Linked DNA regions of Drosophila melanogaster. Changing the gene in region 1 together with any one later gene gives a genetic interaction. Each region holds a gene or a part of one and is shown in the gene's direction. Other genes may lie near its edges. The genes, in order: Ilp5 and gogo.

Region 1 (2,910 bases):
TTAGGTGGCGGCAATTCCGGAGCACCCACTGTACGTTTCCGGGAGCGGCTACGATCCAGGGAATGAGCCTGTCTCTTGTATCTTGGCCTATATGGAGTGATTTGAGTGGGCAGAGTTGGTGTGGCGGACCTTTTGTGGGCCAATTGCTCGTAGTACTCACATCGCGGAGCCACCAAACCCAAATCCACATCGGCTGCCTTGGTCTCTGGAGCGGAGAATCCCTTGGATATGGGAGTTTGATGGAAAACTTCCGCCAGGTCAGGTTCTTTGGTGTGCTTTTGGAGCGTTTTTGATCTCTCTTTGGAGCCACCATCGCGTCGTCGCTGCTCTCTCACTTCATTGGCAGTGGGTTCGATAACCAGGGTGGGACTCTGGAACTTCTCCCTCAGAGCCTCAATACTGTGCGATGGGCTGCAGGAGATCTGATGGCTCTGTTCGGGATTGATAGTTGGTTGATCCTGCTCAGCTGGAGGCCAGCTGTGATCCCGTTTGAGCAGATGCCTCTTGGTGGCCAGACGGTTGATTTTCAGCACCGTGTCCCGATCGATAGTGATGTCCTGCTGATGACTGAGATAGTCTGTTTTGATCTGGTTCAGAAGCTGCTGGTGCAGCGTGTGATGCAGTGCATCCACCTCGCCTCGTTGACGCGGGCGACTCTGCCTTTCAGTGGGGTAAAAATCTTTGTGGGGGAAGTCCCCTGAATTTATTTAAATTTATCTGTAAAAAACACTAATATTGGACGAGCACTGGGACTGGAGTTTGCTGTTTTGTTGTATGTTTCTACACTGTTTCTTTTTGTCTAGGCAACATAAAATAAACGCGCATAGACAAATATCCAAAAAAGAGAGGTATATCTTACCACATTTGGCTTGTTGTTCTTCCTCTTCGACGGCGCGCAGAACGGCCGAGTTGGCCAAGTTCAGGGGCTTCGTTATTTGATCGTCGACTTCAATCCTAAAAATAACGTAAAAATACAATACAATTAGTAAGAATCAATGCACATCGTATATTGTATGAGGTAAAATTTTAAATTTCGCGGTATATACTGCTTGTGTGTTTGGCGCACTGCTTCGACTGCTTGCAAGCAGTTAGCGCCAAATTTAAATTTATTTTTAAATATGCTCTCCTCGCAGGCATGTATTCGATTGTCATGCGTTCTTTTGGTATATGTTATAGAATTATACATGTGAACAGGCAAAAATGTAATATACGACTTTACTTTCTTAGATATACAATAAGTACATTACTTAAATATTTCATGAAATACAAACTTATGATCGTATGCACTATTTGCACGATAAGCCAATTAAACATATTGAAAATGAAAGCCCTTCTAACTAAAGACCATATATATCGTTATACATTTTGATTTCAGCTATTATATATAGATTCCGCCACCCCCTTGGTGCATCCGATTAAGCGAAAGTTACGCTAATCCATGGGCATAAATTAATGATAGCACCCTGCGATGTCCTGACATTGAAAATTAGCAAGTACGCTCCTGCCCACGCTGACCCCAAAAGACTAATCCAATCTGACAGGTGAAAGTGCGCCGGCGGATATAAAAATGGCTGACAGCGGCGGAAACTGCACCACATCCTATCCAGCAGCAGTTCCAGCAAGGCAATGATGTTCCGCTCCGTGATCCCAGTTCTCCTGTTCCTGATCCCGCTCCTGCTATCCGCCCAGGCCGCAAACTCGCTGCGGGCTTGTGGCCCCGCCTTGATGGACATGCTGAGGGTTGCCTGTCCCAATGGATTCAATTCAATGTTCGCCAAACGAGGCACCTGTGAGTATCGGCTGCGTTTTTTTGGGGTTTGGGGTTTCCAAACGGCACGAACTCACTTATTTTACTTGCAGTGGGCCTATTCGATTATGAGGACCACTTGGCGGATTTGGATAGCTCCGAATCTCACCACATGAACTCACTGTCGAGCATTCGGCGCGATTTTCGCGGCGTTGTCGACTCCTGTTGCCGCAAATCGTGTTCCTTTTCCACGTTGAGGGCATACTGCGACTCCTAAAAATGCTGCGATACCTGGTCCATCAGTTTACATACATACATATATGAGACATGTTACGTAAAAGTATTAAGTATAAACTATATGCACGGCTTTGAAACTTGAAACTACAATAAATAAGCGCAATTCGAAACATCGCTTTTTAATTTCTTCAAACATTAAATATTATAAATATTTCGATAATAATTTTAGCCTTTAAAAGTGAACAGATACACTAAATGGTTAGCAAAAGAACAATATGAACAATTTTAAACACACTTTGATATATCCAAATTCTATTATAACAATGTTTATTTTTTTCCATACGAAAATATGCTCCTTTGAGCGGAAGGAAAATCAAATTTTGATTTAAATCGCAGCAAGTTGGGTGGAAATTTTGCACACAAACAAAACTATGCCTTTCGCTTGCCTGGCGATTTTCTTTAAGCTGGCAAAAAGAGTTTTCAACTTTAATTATAATTTGCTTGAAATGTTTTGCTTTCAACGCATCATCTTAATCTGGGACGAAATGTTTTGCCTCAACAAAACGAGATAACAAACAGAAATATTTAAGCTAAGAAAATGTGCCTGCTGAGATAAGACCTTAAAGAATTTATGGACGACAAAGTCCAGAGATAATCGCCAAGCTTTAAGCTTTTTCGGCAATTTAAGACGAACGTCAGCCATTCCTCATTAGATCCGACATTGACCTTTTAGCTGGGAACATTTGGCAAAAAATCACTCACATCTGTCGGCCTCAACTTTAATTAGTTGATTAATTTGAAGGAAGTGTAAACATTGTGACAACCTCATTCGCCGCAGGCCCATTTTGGCTCAAAAATAAAGACAAATAGATAGATAGATAGACATTCAATTCATTGAATTTTAATAGAGATTTGCTCAAATATTT
Region 2 (5,300 bases), about 10 Mb from region 1:
AAATCCAGCAGCCGTGATTGTATTTCCTTTTTGTAAGCAAATATATAATGAATTACGAGAATAAATATATGTATGTGATGAAAGATGAAATATGTCTTATCTCTCACAGATCAAAAATCATTTGATTTTAATTTTTTTACCAAGTTAATGAATGGTTTGAGTCCGTACTTTTTAAAATGTACGCTTACAGTATTTTATTGGTAAGATATCGATAGCCGATAGACCAGCTCATCTGCGATGTTGTATCGCATGTTTGTTTATTGTGTTGTAAACCAAAACTATATCAACAATTTACCTATTTTGTGACGATGTCAGACTACGATCATGCACGCATTAAGAAATTGGTTCTAAAAGGCGAGAAACTCAAGTATGTAACTACAAATCTGCCAATAGCATCAATTGAAATTCTCGATTTGTAGAAAGAGCAAAAAACGCAAGAAGGAAAAGGATGAGGCTGGATCTTCCAAAAAGGCCAAGGTAGTAGTGGATGAGGATGCCGTGAAGCACGGCGGTTGGTGGGCAGCAAAGACAGCGGCCGACATCACCGGTACAGTGTCCATAGAGTTTGGCGATAGGAGTTACCTAAAGGCCATGGACAATGGGTAATAGTGAAAAAGATCTGCCCATTGGTACTTTAATTATACCGGGTGTCCATTAACATTTTAGTCTCTTCACATTGGGAGCACCACACAACGCTGGCGATGGCCCAGATCCCGAGGAGATTTTCACGGCTTTTCCCATCAACGACCGAAAGGTAGCGTTTAAGTCTGGCTATGGCAAGTACTTGAAAATTGAGAAGGATGGAATGGTCACGGGGCGCTCCGAAGCAGTGGGCGGCATGGAGCAGTGGGAGCCGGTTTTTGAGGTAAGTCTTACCTATATACAAATGTTTTGAAACGATAAAACTAATCAACGTAATTAAAGGAACAACGAATGGCTCTTCTATCCGAAACCGGACACTTTATGTCGATCGATCCCCAAGACGACGCCTGCGTGGCATTGCGAAAGAAGGTGGGTCAGCATGAGATCTGTAAAGTGCGGAGTAATGCGAGCAGGGATGTGGTCATCGATACGGAGCCCAAGGAAGAAAAGGGAGACTTGGGCGAAGTCGAGAAGAACTATGTGTAAGTTCAGCTGATGATTATGATTTATAGGACTTAAAAAGGTTGAATTCCGCGTTACCCATTTCAAATTTCGAACCTTTCGCATTTTTTAGGAAAAAATTTCAAAAGTTCCAGGACAAGAAGATGCGGATTAATCAGAACGATGTCAAAGAACTCGAGCAGGCAAAAGCTCAGGGATCTTTGCATGAAACTCTTCTGGATAGACGCAGTAAAATGAAAGCCGATCGGTATTGCAAGTAAACCGACGCGAAGTGTTCATCATTCATTAAAAAAAGTTACCTCTAAAATAAGGTACGGGTTTTATTTTTATAAATATATATGTATATTTATTGGTATCTGAAAATATCTGAATACTTATTGGTTTAAATATTTAAAAGCAATATATTTCGTTCAGGCTTTCAAGCTTAGGCTTTTAAATAACAAATGATAGGTAAACTGTGTTCATATTCATAGTTTCAAGCAGAATCAGTATTTACCTAGTTAATTTCCCAGTTTACAACCAAAATTCAATATCAATCTATGTAGGCAGCACACAGATTTGAGCATGCAGATGCGGGATTTAAGCTGGCCAAGAGTTCAACTGGCCGGCAACAGCCTTTCCACCCCCTTTCGCCCGCCTTGCTGTAGTAAAACTAGCAGCAGACGGCGTCACAACATGACAATTCGCGCTGGATGTCCTCCACACCACCCAACTACTTCAGCCACCCCCTCGTCGGGTGGGAAATCAACCACCATGCGTTGCATCCTTGGTGCCCGTGCCCGCTCTCATCTCGGTCTCTCGCCCGCTCTCTCGGCGCAGTCCTCACACCATCGTTGGCGTGCGCCTCTCGCTTTTTCCACGAGGAGTCCGCTTGAAGTGCCGAATCCGGTTCACGTCCTGGTGGCTCGTGCTCGTCTGTGCGCTCGTGGCTTTATTTTGGCTCTGGCCGGTGGCTCAAAGTCGCGTGGCAATCAGTTTGCTGCCGTCTGTGTTCGTGGGTGAAAGTCCGCACCGCTTGGCTGTTCGGATTTTTTGCCGCATCTCGTAGATACTTCATATGGAAAACGCTTCTATCGGTTGGAATTGTATCTCGTGAATTGTGCCGCCGCCGTCAAGTTACACTTGAAAATTGTCAAAATTGAATTCACCGAACGTTAGTGAACAAAGGTCCTCCAAATGGCCATAACGAGTGCTGCGGTCTTTGTCTCGATTCGGTTTTCAAACCAAACTACTGGCGTTGCCGGGTTAAGTCAAAAGGTTCTGTAGATATACTTAAGTGCTCAGTGAACTACTCATCAACAGAATAATCGTGTAGTGCAACTGCATATATCATCCTGCTCTTTGGTGAGTGAAGTGATCTCATTGCAGTTATTATATTCTCTTTATACGACTGTCTGGTCTGGTCTGGTTTTGTTTCCCGCTCTCGTTTTTCGGTGGTGTTTCGAAAATTGCAGGCGATTCGGGGTGTTTTTTCAAACTGCCGCCGACGACAGGTATGGGATAATCAATTCCAAGGAAAACTAGAATCAACAAGGCTGCAATTTTATTCAAAAGTGTGGGACCACAGAAATCCTTTTGAGAAATATATAAATCTCGTTCTCGGGCATAAATCTAATTGAACTCAATGATTTACCATTCGAGTAAGTTGCGTGTGAAAAGCTCATACATTTGCAGATATGCAAAGGAAGGCGGAGTTAAATACTTTGGGAGATCGATATAAGAAGGAAATGGCTATTAGTCACTACGATTTGCTATAAAAGAGGATGTTATTTTAATACAAAACTGTGTTCATGTTATTCCCAAATGTTTTTAATTTGTGACACAGGGGTAAACAAAGTGGGTTGAGTGCACCAAACAATTTCTTATTCCTCAGTACAATTTTCAATCCTTGCGTGCTAACATTACTCAGATTCATAACTATTAAAACAAATGCTCCGGGTGTGATATTAGTGGATCGATAAAGCTAATCTTTTTAATTAGCTTAAGAGGGTATAGTTAGCAGCTCATTATTGATTCTAAAGCACACTGGAGATATGGTTATGCAATTTAAATCCTTGTTATCTGTAATGTATCTGTGAGTATATTTAACTCCAGTTCATTGGAAACAAAACATAAATTTGAATTGGTAACAAATTCCTTGTTTTGTAAACAGGACACATTGGTCTTCTTAAAGGGGCCGATCAACCTCAACATTTAAAATCCATTAAGTTGAATTTCCTTTGAGGGCTTTTCCCCTTTGTCTGGCCTGTTTCTCCTTTGTCAAGCCCAAAAGTGGTCAATTGCCAGGCAGACAGAGGGCGGAAAAGTCGACAATGGAAATCCGTCAGATTTCTTTAATTTCCTCAGCAGTCTTTGACTGCTGAAATGGTTTCCTTTTCAGCCTGTCAATTGATTTGGCTCAAGAATAACGCCATTGGAGGTAAAGAAGTTTGGCTTAAAGCCGTTGCCATTGTGTATGAAGTGTTGAAATTTGAGAAAAAAAAGGGTGTCTCTACTTCGGTTTATCATCATTTGCCCTGAATCCAATACCCTTTTCATACAATATCTAGGGAGCATTTCGAGAGCCAGCTCCAAACAGATTTGCATCAAAGTTGGCAACAAATAGACTGTGACTTGCAGTTGGTTTTAGCAATTACTCTTTTTATATTTTCGGACTTCCTGGTGGCTTTCACACACGAACCCATGCACATTGTACACCGATGCTTTTCTAATTACGTTCATGTACATACAACATGGACATCTGATGTCACAGGTCTTCTTCGTTGCATTCAATTTGACTCGCTTAGAAATGCACCACCTTCCCTGGACTACCTGGGTAAGTAACCACCACCCACACCCAGTTCATGGAGGAACACATGTCATGGTATACCCTGTGGGTACCTGGCGGAAAAGAAAACAGAACAGAACAGAACAAAGTGAGAGACCCAGACTAAATTAATCAGGGGCCAGGTAGCGATTGGAGAGAGCTGGCGGACTTCCTCGGGGGTTGTATCCATACCATGCCGTCCAATCCTACTGCAACAAGCGAGTGAGCCGTGGAAAACAACCCCATGCGGACCTTTATAACTAGGGATTCCCCATATGCTTTCCCTATATTCAAGTGACTGGAAACTAAACTAATGGGTATCTTATATATAAATACACATGTAGCAGGGTCTTAAACATGGTGTAAAACGTATTTCCTTTGATTACCAAATTTTCCGTATAAGCAATACCCATTAAAACTTTTAACCGACCTTTTTTCGGGACTAAAAATGTATCCACAACAGGTAACGTTTCGCTAACTTTTCCAATGTCGGGTAACTAGACTTCAAAATGTAAGGAAAGAGTTTAGAAGGTAAAGTCAGCCAGCCTTTTTGTGGATTTTTGGTAACTTTCTTTGGCAGGCAACTGTGAATATTGGGGATGAAAGTGTAAACAGCTGACGGCGGTCTGAAGTACCTCGTATGCCAAAGTCCTTTCTCACGGGTTAATTTCCTTTCGCAACGCCAACATGCAAACATACAAATGCTTGCAAAAATATTTATTTAGTAACTCGATGACCGTCAGTTGTCTCCAGTTACTCAAGACGATTTGTTGATTAACTCTAAATGGATTTGAAATATTTGCATATTGCACCATTTCCGTTGGATCCTTAAAATCCTTAAATTTCCGCAGGCGGAAAGGGGAATAATCCTTCCTTATATAGTTACTACTGCCTAATGCGAACTGTAATTAAACTGTGTCTGCATAATTTAAGTGCTTAATTTTGCTGAAGCGATTGCTGTGCCGTCGCCAAGTTGAAATGCAAATAAATACTCAAGGCCTACATGAAAACGGCAAAAAAGAGCGAAAGGCAAAGTTTTCTGGATAGCGCCTGCCTCGCAACTCCAGTGGCGCACGCATTCCGCCTCCGGAAAAGTATTTGTAACAGTGTTTAAACTCACATAGCCCTCCGTGGTTTGCGAACTATTAAAAAGTGAACCGAGTTCTTGGGCGGTGGGCGGTGGTGCGGGTAGGTCGGCCAGCACTTGGAAATGTGGGCGGTGCGGTGCTGGGATGATTATCCAAGTTTTAGCATTCTTTCTGGCTCGGCATTCGGCTCTCCAACGCCATCAAGAGCCACATAGCGCACAGTTATGGGAAAATCTTTTAATTAATTTAAAACTAATTTTCTTGAAAGCCAAGTGAAATGACCTTTGAGTGTGCCGAAAGCA

Evidence for each region.
Region 2: of Ilp5 (region 1) and gogo, changing one suppresses a phenotype caused by changing the other (phenotypic suppression), as found in Drosophila melanogaster (one study listed by BioGRID).

What each region holds. Positions count from the first base shown.
Region 1 is NT_037436.4:9,822,590-9,825,499, reverse strand, and holds Ilp5 (Insulin-like peptide 5), read left to right. Parts: upstream 1-1,602; 5' UTR 1,603-1,626; coding exon 1,627-1,789; intron 1,790-1,860; coding exon 1,861-2,024; 3' UTR 2,025-2,151; downstream 2,152-2,910. Other genes in the region: CG43897 (uncharacterized protein), read right to left, coding at 1-697, 860-954.
Region 2 is NT_037436.4:20,291,909-20,297,208, reverse strand, and holds the start of gogo (golden goal), read left to right. Parts: upstream 1-2,075; 5' UTR 2,076-2,448; intron 2,449-5,300. Other genes in the region: FRG1 (FSHD region gene 1), read left to right, coding at 309-367, 420-602, 667-865, 925-1,124, 1,217-1,364.